Linked DNA regions of Macaca mulatta. The protein of the gene in region 3 interacts with the protein of the main gene of each other region in a pairwise test. Links are inferred from orthologs where the notes say so. Each region holds a gene or a part of one and is shown on either strand. Other genes may lie near its edges.

Region 1 (3,749 bases), on a different chromosome or scaffold from region 3:
AAATCAGAATTGTGGCAAAGGAGCAAAGAAATACAAGGCCCTATGCAGCCTGCGATAAGGGGACTTGCTCTCTTCTTTCTTCTTCTTGAAGAGGGATCTTTGCCCAGAAGAAAGTCTCTCCTTTATAAAGTCAGTTTCATTCTCCAAAGCCTGAGGGAAAAGGTCTCGCGGTCTTCCCCTGTCCCTCCAAGGAACCTCCCCTGAATACGAGTGGCAGTTAATAAGGAACCCCCGGCCGGGCGCGCTGGCTCACGCCTGTAATTCCAGCACTTTGGGAGGCCGAGGTGGGCGGATCACGAGGTCAGGAGATCGAGACCATCCTGGCTAACACAGTGAAACCCCGTCTCTACTAAAAATGCAAAAAAAAAAAATTAGCCGGGGGTGGCGGCGGGCGCCTGTAGTCCCAGCTACTCGGGAGGCTGAGGCAGGAGAACGGCGTGAATCCGGGAGGCAGAGCTTGCAGTGAGCTGAGATCCGGCCACTGCACTCCAGACTCCGCCTCAAAAACTAACTAAATAAATAAATAAGGAACTCCCATCCCTCTCTTCAAGTCGTCTCCCTTCCTCAGGGCCCACAAAGAAGTTGCAAACGGGTTTTGTCCTCTCCTGAAGAAGTGGAAGTTCTTTTCTTCTAAGGAAGTGGCAGATCTTCCCTTCGGTGTCTTCTCCAAGGGGTCTCCCACTCTTTTTCCCTTCTGTGACAGCCCTTCCTTCATATCCTTCAGGGACCCCACACTCTGAAGATAGCCTTTACATCCCTAATCCCCTTTGGGAAAACCCCCTGGGGCCCAGGTACTCACAGATCTAGCCAGTCCCCGAGCCCCAGGCCGCCACAGCAGCAAGAGGGCAGCCTGGCTCAGGCCTCGGTTTGGCCGCCAGACCCTCGCCGCAGCGATCGCTACCGCCATCTTGGCTAGCAACCACTCAGCGGTAGGGCACTCACGTAGGCTAGATTCGGGGCTGCCCCTTTATGTGCCTGACACAAACTCCAGCACCATCTGACAAGAAAATCACCTTCTTCCCATTCTGTTGTAGATAGAATGCACAGAGATTTGGAGAAGAAAACCTATCTACCCAAAATTTTCCCCAGTCGCCTCATTGTAGTTACTCCTGTAACAGGCAAAGAAGAGGGCAACCTGACCACGGCCTCAGGGATTTAGGGCCCGGGGGCCCAGAGTAAAACAGGTCACTGCCAAGGCCTGCCTCCTGTTCTCAACTGTCCAATGGCGTTGCCAGAGTTAGGAGGTGGGACTGGGCGGAGCCAGATTGTTGGTAAACGCTAAGCCACGTGCGGACGCCAGGACTGACGGCCGAGCCCAGCGCGTGCGCAATGGTTACGCAGAGTGTTCGCAGCGCGCGCTGCCGGGCGGAAGTGATAATCGCAGCCGCACGTGGGGTCGGCGCGATGGAGGAGGAGATGCATACTGACGCCAAAATCCGCGCTGAAATTGGAACAGGGTGCAGCCCTCGGGGTCCCGGCTGCAGCCTCCGGCACTTTGCCTGCGAACAGAACCTGCTGTCGCGGCCAGATGGCTCTGCTTCCTTCCTGCAAGGTAAGAACTTACCCAGGTCTTTTGGAGAGGGACTACCATGTACCGTGCAACGGAGTGCCCATCTCCCCATGATACCAGCTGGTAAATGTCACTCCTGCGTTGATACATGATTTCTTGTCCGATTGAATACTACTACATACGCAGGGATACATACATCTCTCCCTCACGACTAGAAAGGAGAAGATAGCTCCATCTTTGTAAATATGTCTGAGAATGACAGGCGGGGCAGACCGTCCCCGCAAGAATTGATATTTCAGAATAGGGAAAATCACCTCACCAGGGTAAATATCGCCCTTAACTAGGTTCCTCCTCCTCACCCCCGCCCCCGCCCGCCCCACACACACGCCCGCTAGGTCCTTGCATCCCGGACTGACGCAAACCTGTCAATTTGCATACTCTGGACTGTGGCGGATCTTTCACCCACGTAAATACTCCTCAAATTGAAGATAATGTCACTGCCCTGGGTTGAAAAATACATCCCCACCGCTACCTCACTGCATCTCTCCACAGGAGTAAATATCCCTAAGATTAGGGCAAGTCTTACCTATAGGGCAAATATCCCCTTCCCCTAGCTAAATAACTCTCAGAACCAGATTAACTCCAAGAATATTTCTCTTTAACGTTTGAGACAGGAGGCTGGGCACAGTGGCTCACGCCTGTAATCCCCACACTTTGGGAGGCCAAGGCGGGTGGATCACCTGAGGTCAGGAGTTCGAGACCAGCCTGGCCAACATGGCGAAACCCCGACTCTACTAAAAGTACAAAAATTAGCCAGGCATGGTGGTGGGCGCCTGTAATCCCAGCTACTGGGGAGGCTGAGGCAGGAGAATCTCTTGAACCCAGGAGGCAGAAGTTGCAGTGAGCCAAGATTGTGCCATTGTACTCCAGTGTGCACGACAAAACAAGATAATGTCTCAAAAAAAAAAAAAAAATTTTGAGACAGGGTCTCACGATGTTGCCCAGGTTGGTCTTGAACTCCTGGACTCAAGCAGTCCTCCTCCCAAAGTGCTCATATAGGTACCAGCCACCACGCCCAGCCCCAATACATTTTAACAAAATCTGGCTGCTGTGTTGATTGTGGGGAGTATGGGGGAAAACAGGGAGGTGATGGTGGCTCCAGCCAGAACAGGAGTAGTGGAGGTGATGAGATTCTGGATGTAGTTTGAAAGTAAAACGGACAAAACTTACCTATAGTTTGGTTTGAGTGCGAGGAAAAAGAGTCAGGCATAACTAAGGTTTCTGCCCAGATCTGTACAAGTCTGGAAATCAGGAGAGAGACCCAAGCTGGACATAGGCAATTTGGAACTCTCTGGCTGTATATATGGTATTTCAGCCTATTGACTGAACGAAGTCAGTGTAGATGGAAAAGAGGTCCCAGGACCAAGCCCTAGGCCTTCCAACTTGAGCAGTCAGGGACTTGTGACAAGCAAGCTAAAGGAGACTCAGAAGGAACGCCCAGAGACTTAGGGGGAAACCGGGAGAGGGTGGTGACCTGGGGCCAAGAGAAGAGCGTGTCTGAGATGTGAGGGCTGACAGCTGTTTCGGCCTTACTGACAGCCGGGTCAATGGAGGGTTGATCATTTGGAGGTCAGTGGTGACGATGTTGAGCTGCCGCAGTGGAGTGGTGGGGTCACAGGAAAGGAAGAATAGACAGCTGTTCAGGAGTTTTGCTGTAAGAGGATCAGATAAGTGGGGCAGGAATTGAAGATGGTTGTGGGGTCAACAGGGGAGAGAATTGCTGGAGCCACGTCTTGAAGAAGGTGAGAGGGGAGGGACTCTTGTGCTCAGGCGAAACACAGGCAGTTCATCTGGAGCCAGAGGCGAGTTCTATTTTGGTTTCTCCAGTCCTCAGGGCAGTTTTTCCTGGAACTAAGCACACCTTCCGTGTAAGGGCAAATTGGGCATCCCAGGAAATACCGCCTTAACCAGGGACCTTCCCGGACCCTCCCTCAGGCTTAGCACTTATGCTGAATTGAGATACCTCAAGTTTCTTCGAACCTAAGAATTAAGAAGGGGCCGGGCGCAGTTGCTCACATGGGTTGCTCACACCGGTAATCCAAGCACCTTGGGAGGCCGATGAGGGTAGATCACCTGAGGTCAGTAATTCTTTTTTTTTTTTTGACACAGAGTCTCGCCCTGTCACCCAGGCTAGAGTGCAGTGAAGCGATCGTGGCTCACTGCAACCTCCACCTCCCAG
Region 2 (3,749 bases), on a different chromosome or scaffold from region 3:
AGGAGGAGCCGCAGCGGCGCGGCAGGGCCCAGCCGCGGGGCGGGGCATCAGGCTCCGCCCCCAGGCTCCGCCCCGACGCGGGGTGGGCGGTGGCTCGCGGCCCGGCGGCTCACCTGGGCGACCAGGCGAGGCCACTCACGGCGGGAGGGGCAGGGGGTGGGGCCAGCGCCGCTTTACCCCGAGGCCCAGACAGGCCTGCGGGCGCGCCAGCTCAACCTTGGTACCTTTCCCCAGGTGATGGTGAAGGAGCGGGGCTTTACCTGCCGCCCCCAAATCACTTCCCTTCCCAGTGGCAAGGGCGAAAGAGGCCCGACTCCCCCACTGGGGCGGTGTTGACCCAGGATGGCCCTTCCTGGGACCCCGGCCTCCTGGGCCTTCTGTGGGACGACAGGCTTAGGCTCTAGTCGGTCAACACACCTTGAAGAGGGAGGAGGTCACGTGCAAGATGAGTCACGACAGAATACGAGGGTTGAAGGCGGTATTTGTCTCACCGGGGACCTTGCAGTTGCATTCTCAACTGGGTCAAATAAAGGGCAAGAAAGAAATGTCTTTCTCTTTTGGGGGAGTGAGAGTTTGGGAAAAAACTGTTTCCCACCTCATCCTTTCCGTCCTAGGATTCCTTCTATCCCCCAGAGCGCGTCCTCTCCGGCTGTGGACTTCCTTTCCCTTTACCCGCTGTGGCTCTTCAAACCTCTTCACCTGCGGAACCCGCCCTCACCTTTGTTCCCAGGTGCCCAGCCCCCGCCTCGGCAACCTTCGCCACCCAGACTCGCTCTCCGCCCAGCTCCCTGTCCCGGCCCCGGCCACGCTCCCTCAGGTGCGCTTCCTCTCGAATAGGCCCTTCTCCCCTAGCCGCCGGCCCCGACCCTGCCCCACTCCAGCTGTCCAGCTGTCCTGCGCAACTACGTTTCTGCTTCCCTGCGCCACCTGTTCTCCTAGCCTCCCCCCACCCCGCCCCGCGATTCCTCTGGATGTTCACTCCTTCCCGAGCAGTGCCACTCCTGGCAGCGGCCCGGGGTGCGCACAGGCACCTAGCCCCCGGGGCTTCCGCAGGGGAATCAGGCGGGCGGCGGGGACAGCCCGGGGCGGGTGGGGGAGGCGGGCGGCGAGGGCGGAGTGGTCTCACTCTAACCCAGGAGTGACGGGCCAATTCTGGCCCGCCTCCCGAGCTCTCGGATAGGTGGAGCCGCCCTCTGGTCCGCCCACCTCCCGCCCTGTGCTACCTCCGATTGGCCCGGCTGCGGGTTGGGCCGCTCGGCCTTAGCGCTGGCCCCCGGGAAGGCAGCAGGGGCGGTTGAGAAGTGAAGTCTTGGCCGGAGTTTGCTTCTTGCCAGGAAATCCGCGGTGGCGGCGGCGGCAATTCTCGGCGGAGCGGAGCCGGGCAGGCTCTCCGCTCCCTCAGCGGGCCGCGGAGAGCGGGAGCTGGTGGCCGTGCGCGGCCCGGGCAGCCGCGCTTTCCCAGTGAGTAACTTTGTCCTGCCCGCCTCGCTGCGCGCCCTCTCCCCGGCTGCGGGCAGCCGCCTCAGGTGCGGGCGTCGGCTGGGTGTGGAGGAGCGCCGCGCCCCGGGAGGCGGCCGGAGCGGCGCCGCTGCTCGCCCCGGAGCTTTGGTCGTCCGCGGCTGTCTTTGCTCGCCCGGGCTGCGGGGCTGGCGTGGACTCCGGTGTGGGGCTGGTCGGGGAGGGAGAGTCGGCGCCCGGTGCCCGCCGCCTGTAGGAGCCCTGGAGGCGGGCGGCCTCCGGCTGTTAGCATTTGCTGGTTCCGGCCACCGCGGTGCAGATCTTGGCGTCGTTTGCTTCTTAAGGGAAGGGAGAGGTGGGGTGAGTGTTTAAATTTCCTGTGTGTGTGTGTGTGGTGTCGGCAATGCGAGTGGCACTAGCTGCCTTTGTCGGATTTTGTTCCTCTGCAAAGGGATAGGGAGAGATCGTTCCCTCCGCCCTAGCCTGTTGCCTGTGAATTCTCACCTTTCTCTTTAGGCTGGAGAGGGTGGGAGATAGATTTGACATATTCCAGTGGGTAATTTAAAAATGCGAATCTTGATTTGGAACCAGTTGCACACAAAGCATCGTTCAGGAAATACATCACTCGCTTTTCAAAGCTTTATGCCACGTTTTAAACAAGGACTTTTGACTCATGTAGTGTTTCTTCTAGTATTTCAGTTTACGTTGAGTTTATGAATCCAGACGTTCGTTTGTGCCAGGAGCTAAAGTACACTTATGCATGGACTTTGCTGTATTTATTATCCTTTTTAAAATCACAGAAATCAGAAACAAAGTTGAGTGAAGAGCGGTGGCGGTGCAGGAGGAGGAACACTTGTGAGCTCCAGCTTATTGGAACTGCCTTTAAGAATTTCACATTCTTGCGGCAATAGTACTTACTTGTAAATTGGCCTTCTTCCCAGGACAGATTTTGATATTTCTTTTGCATGTACTTCGATGCAGCACTGATGAAGTTGGATCTCAGTAGATCAATTTTATTTACTTTGCTAGATTTGATTCCCACCCCCACACCTCTTTAGAAAATGGACTTTGGCAGGTAAAGAAGGAAGCGGGAATCTGGTATCCTTTTTGGCTTGTCAAAGCTTTGTTGAGCCATGAATAACAAAGTTTTGGCTTTTTAAGCTTGTCCAAGTCCCACATGTGAGTTTTCCCATGGGGTAAAAGTAGGCCAAATGAGAACCAAAGTAGAATAACATTACTTTTAATTCGGCCCACTTGTGTGTTACATTCTCCATATATCTTGTTTCTCTCGTCTTCTCATCAGCTTTGACATTTTTTCATTATTTATTCATTTAGCCACTGATAAAGTACCTACTGCATGCCAGCCATTGATGGCAGGGGTTAGTTCTTGCCCAGAAGTTTTCTCATTTGGAAACTGATCCATGCTTTTATCCCGCTAGTTACCCTGAAGTAATTTGAACTTAGGGAGCATTTCTGCCTGGAGACCTGTAAGAATAGGTGTTACGTAGGCACCTAGCCTTCAGATTGATTTGGGATATCGTACATTGTAGGCACGGAGCACGCAGGCCACTTAAAAATAAATGCATGTATCTTTGGGCTGTTGTATTATGAGCTTTGCATATGGGCTTGTCTGGCCGAAGGACCCAGTGTCCAAGGTGGAAGTAGTAGTCAGGGACATGTATGGTATTCATTTCAGAGCACTTGGCACCTTTTCTTGCTTACATTGGTCACTAAAATATTTACTGAATTGACTTGAACAGAAAAATGAAGGATTTTGTATACCAGATTAAGAAATTTGGACTTTATCCAGTCAGTGATACTGAGCTGCTAATTTTAAGCAGGAGAATGTCATGATAACATTCGCGTTCCAGAAAGATATCTGCAGCATCTGGAGGATGGTGGGCTTCCAGATGGGCGGTATTGAGACTAAGTTGGAGGCTGTTATAATGGAGGGGTTAAGTGCTCAGGGATTCTCTATTCAGATTACCTGGGGTGGAATCAGGCTCTGTCATACACTGAAACCTCTTTGTTCCTTAGGTTTTTCATCTCAGAGTTTGGGGGATAGAACTTGAAAAAACATGTATATTACTTAGAATAGTGATTGCCACATAGTAAGGACTTAGTAAATGCTAGTGTGCTGGCAGTGGAAGGAGAAACGACATGGCATTTAACGCGTATGACTAGGAGGCTGGACCAGGTAAGTGACTAGATAGGCTTAAGGAGGGGAAGGATGAATCCTGGGTTGTTTGATTTCAGGCATTGATTGACATGTACTGGGTAAGCTGGCTGTG
Region 3 (3,749 bases):
TGGAAAAATGAGAGCTAATTTATTGGCAAATACTCTGTTGCTCTCAGAAAATGTTGAAGGTCTTTTGGTGCTTTAGGATGTGTGCCAGTCCAGGGTGGCCCTGACCTTCTACAGCCGTTTCAGAGAGGATGTGCCTCAGGTGGCCTGAAGATACAGTAGCCTAAAACTTAGCACACAGTCACTGATTGAGAAGCTGAACAGGAATAAATTTTGAGGGCAGAGATCCTGAAGGACACGACAAGTATTTACAGGGTACTGTAAGATGGAGGCGGCGGCGGCGGCGGTGGTGGAGGCGGCGGCTGTGGCGGCGGGTACTGTGGTACCGGAGGCTGGCGGTACCAGTGTGGATTCCAAGTGATCATAACAGGTACATATAGTGATCTTCCTTGTCCGTCTCTTCCCACTGGGTACCAGGCGAATCCTACTGGGTAGGTCGGGTATGCGGCATACGTGGGGTACGTTTGGTATCCAGGTATTTGAGGTACGAATTCAGTGTACGTTGCCAGGTGCGCTTGGTCTTCTAAATTTGGAATAGATAGGCGAGGATACTGATTCTGGATAGTAAAATTGTTTGGAGCTCGGCAATCGTAAGAAACTTGCAGTTTCCACCCCCTCTTCACCTGGAGAACTTGGGCTCCATTAGGTGCGATCGTTGGAGTAATCAGCCCATCTTTCACATTTCTTGCCACAAAATCTCGAAGAGCTGCCATTTCAGGTTCAGACAGTGAGTACACATGTCCGCTGGGAATACTGTGTGCTCCAGGTATCATTTCTATGTGAGGGTCAACCAGGCGGTGATCTGGGTAGACGTGCTCATCTACTGGAGTGTACACATTCTGGACATAGTAATATCTCACTGGTTGGTAAACTCTGTATCCATCTACTGGATAATAGAGTGGCGGTTGTTGTGCTGGTGGTGGGAGCGATGGTGGTATTGGAGAATACATCCGGCAGTGGTAGCGGCAGTATTCAGAATCAAAGACAATAGATCGAGTGCTCCATGTGATGTTGGGATCATGTGTGCTCAGCCAGCGAACCCCTAGGACGACAGGGAAGAATGGAGACTGAGTCACATCAAATGACAGCACTTCACGGTGATCTCCCAGGTCAACTATCAGGTCGTGAGTTTCGTGGACAACTGGGCCCGATGCTATGGGGCGCCCATCAATTGCTTCCACAAGTATTGGCCAGTCCTTGATTCTTAGAGGAATTCCATTTTGAGCAACGTATTCGTGATCAATGAAGTTGCCAGAAGCACCAGAATCGATCATGGCTCGGACGAACAGGGTGTGTCTGCCCGGAAGATGAATCTGGAGCATCACTTGCAAGTGTGGAGATGAGGCGTCATCTTGTGGGGACCTTATTATTTCTGGCCCGGTCGCTGAAGGTCCCTCTACAGCGGGGCCGGGGAGTTTCCCGCCGGCGAAGACTTCGAGGCCTTGGCAGGACAGTTGTCAGCGTAGTGACCTCCTGTTCCACAGTAGAGGCACAGGTTCAGCTTTCTGCGTCTTTCTTTTTCCTCCTGGGTCAGGCGCATGCGGGCACCTCCCACCGGCTCGGTTGGATCTACCTGGTGGTGGCTTGCAACGTGAGGCAACACCAGCGCCCGGGGTGGTGAGCGTGGCTTGCGAGCTGCAGCAGCCCTGGCCAGCCTTCTCTCAATGTGAATGCACTGCCCAATCAGAGCAGACAGCGACTTGGCGACCTCGAGGTGGGAGAGCTCCTCCTGAATGTGGTCGCTGAGGCCCTCGTGGTACTGGTCAATCAGCGCAGGCTCGTTCCAATCCAGGTCCTGGGCAATCATCTGGAAAGCATTGGAATAGTCGATGACAGACCCCATGCCTTGGCGCAGGCGTCTGATCTTGCGTTTGGCAGCCTCTCGCCTCTGAGGGTCTTCAAAGACATGCTTCATTTCCATCATGAAAGCTGGGTAGTTGTGCATCAGGTAGTGGGAGCGCTCCAGCTTTGCTGAGGCCCAGCGGGCAGCACGGCCGGTCATCATGCTTGTCACGAAACAGACACGGACACGATCAACTGAGAAATCTCTGGTGCTCTTTTCCATGAAGATCTGGCACTGGGCCATGAAAGGAGCCAGCATGTCTGGGTTGCCATCGAACTTCTCTGGAAGGTCTTCTGGGCACTCTTCCTCTATTGGAGGGGGTGGGGCAGCAGCTGCTGCAGCACCGCGGAGCTCGATGTCATCATCATCATCCTCAGGGGTGGGTTCCACTTGCTCTCGAAGGGTGGTGTTCTCCTCTGTGAGCTTCTGCACCTGGTTCTGCAGGTTGCTGTTCTCCTCGGACTGCTTAATGACCTTCTCTCTTAGGTTGTTGATCTCTTCAGAGAGCTCATCCCTTCTTCGTTCGGTCATGTTGGGGACACACGCGCTCTTATGGCCGGTGTGCTTGGAGTTGTTGTTGTTGTTGTTGTTGGGGGGAGGGGGAGGGGGAGGAGGTGGGCAGTCGGGACCCAGGGTGACGGTTGGGGTGGGAGGAGACCTCCCAGCTGTAGCTTCACTTCTGTGGGGATGGAGGCCTGGATCCTGGCCCCCTCTTCCACTCCTTCTTTTTTTTGTTTTCAAAATCCGCTTATTTCTGTAAATAAAGATAAATGTATAAATCCAACTTATAGATTCAAAGCAGCAAAATGCAGACACAAAGGATTTAGTATTTAAATTATCCCTTGCTCCATGCACTTACTTTAATAATTAGCGAACAAAGAAAACAAACTTTCAAGAGAAAAGTATCAATCAGCACCATAGATAACAAAAAGGAAACTACTTTTTGATGTTCAAATGACCTTGTCTTCCTCAAAGGCCACCTGTTCATTATGATTCAACAATACATCATCAACAGCATGCTTACCTTTATAAACTATAAAAGAATGTTGAAACCCTCTAAACAAGTAGTTTTGTATTGAAACAGAGGAAGAAACTTCAAGGCAAACATAGATACCAAATCAATTATGCAAATTAAAGCCAAAATAATAACTTTTGTTACTAAAGAAGCTAGGCCAAAAATAGTTAATACTACAACTAATAGAAGCTAATTAAAAAAGAGGGGAGTATTAAAATCACAATGCATGTATTCATCAGCCCTGTGGGCGGGAGGAGGGTACTGTGGCCAACTGTCACAACCCTGTTTCACTGCCACAGAGAAGGTCACTGGTTATCAAATCAAACAACCACCACCACAAAAACTACAGGACTGCCTAAATTACTTTTCTGACCATAATTTAAATCCCCAAAGAAAATTCTCTGTGGGACAGAAATGGCACTAAGCAGCAATATGTGTATGTCAGTTTCCCTTGTCATTTATGCAGTCATTCAAGAAATACTAATTGATGCCTCCTAGGAAAAGCTATAAAATGGGGCATTCAAAGAAGCCCAATAATAGTATACCTCAAACTAATTGTGAGGACTTAATTAAATAGTGCAGGTAAATTATGTAGTGAGTATTCAATAATGGTTAGCTGATATTAACAAAGTTATTAATTAGAAAATAGAAAGGTGATTATCTGTGTGAAGAGAGTGGGATTAAAAGAGGGAGGGGCTGCAACTATAGCAACATGGGCATGCATTTCCCACCTAAAGATGTTTACTTTTTTAAAAACACTGTGTTGGTCAAATCCAAGGCCTTATTTGTCTTGCAGGTCACCAGTTTGCAATCCATAGTTTTTAACCAAGATTTGTCAGCATAGCCCCAAATGCAGGTTTGTAATGTTAAGGTGGGACAGGGCTGCATTCCTGC

Evidence for each region. The genes of interacting proteins can lie anywhere in the genome.
Region 1: the proteins of PEG10 (region 3) and EXOSC5 interact in binary tests that used the Homo sapiens proteins (3 or more experiments, as listed by UniProt). The link is inferred for Macaca mulatta from reciprocal best matches to the Homo sapiens genes PEG10 and EXOSC5.
Region 2: the proteins of PEG10 (region 3) and LNX2 interact in binary tests that used the Homo sapiens proteins (3 or more experiments, as listed by UniProt). The link is inferred for Macaca mulatta from reciprocal best matches to the Homo sapiens genes PEG10 and LNX2.

Annotation. Positions count from the first base shown.
Region 1 is NC_133424.1:52,541,552-52,545,300, reverse strand, and holds the start of EXOSC5 (exosome complex component RRP46), read left to right. Parts: upstream 1-1,339; 5' UTR 1,340-1,404; coding exon 1,405-1,552; intron 1,553-3,749. Other genes in the region: BCKDHA (2-oxoisovalerate dehydrogenase subunit alpha, mitochondrial), read right to left, coding at 800-907. UniProt on the Homo sapiens protein: Non-catalytic component of the RNA exosome complex which has 3'->5' exoribonuclease activity and participates in a multitude of cellular RNA processing and degradation events.
Region 2 is NC_133422.1:7,657,694-7,661,442, reverse strand, and holds the start of LNX2 (ligand of Numb protein X 2), read left to right. Parts: upstream 1-1,290; 5' UTR 1,291-1,461; exon of another isoform or gene 1,462-3,749.
Region 3 is NC_133408.1:124,716,226-124,719,974, forward strand, and holds the start of PEG10 (retrotransposon-derived protein PEG10), read right to left. Parts: upstream 2,595-3,749; 5' UTR 2,474-2,594; coding exon 1,394-2,473; coding exon of another isoform or gene 246-1,393; 3' UTR 1-245.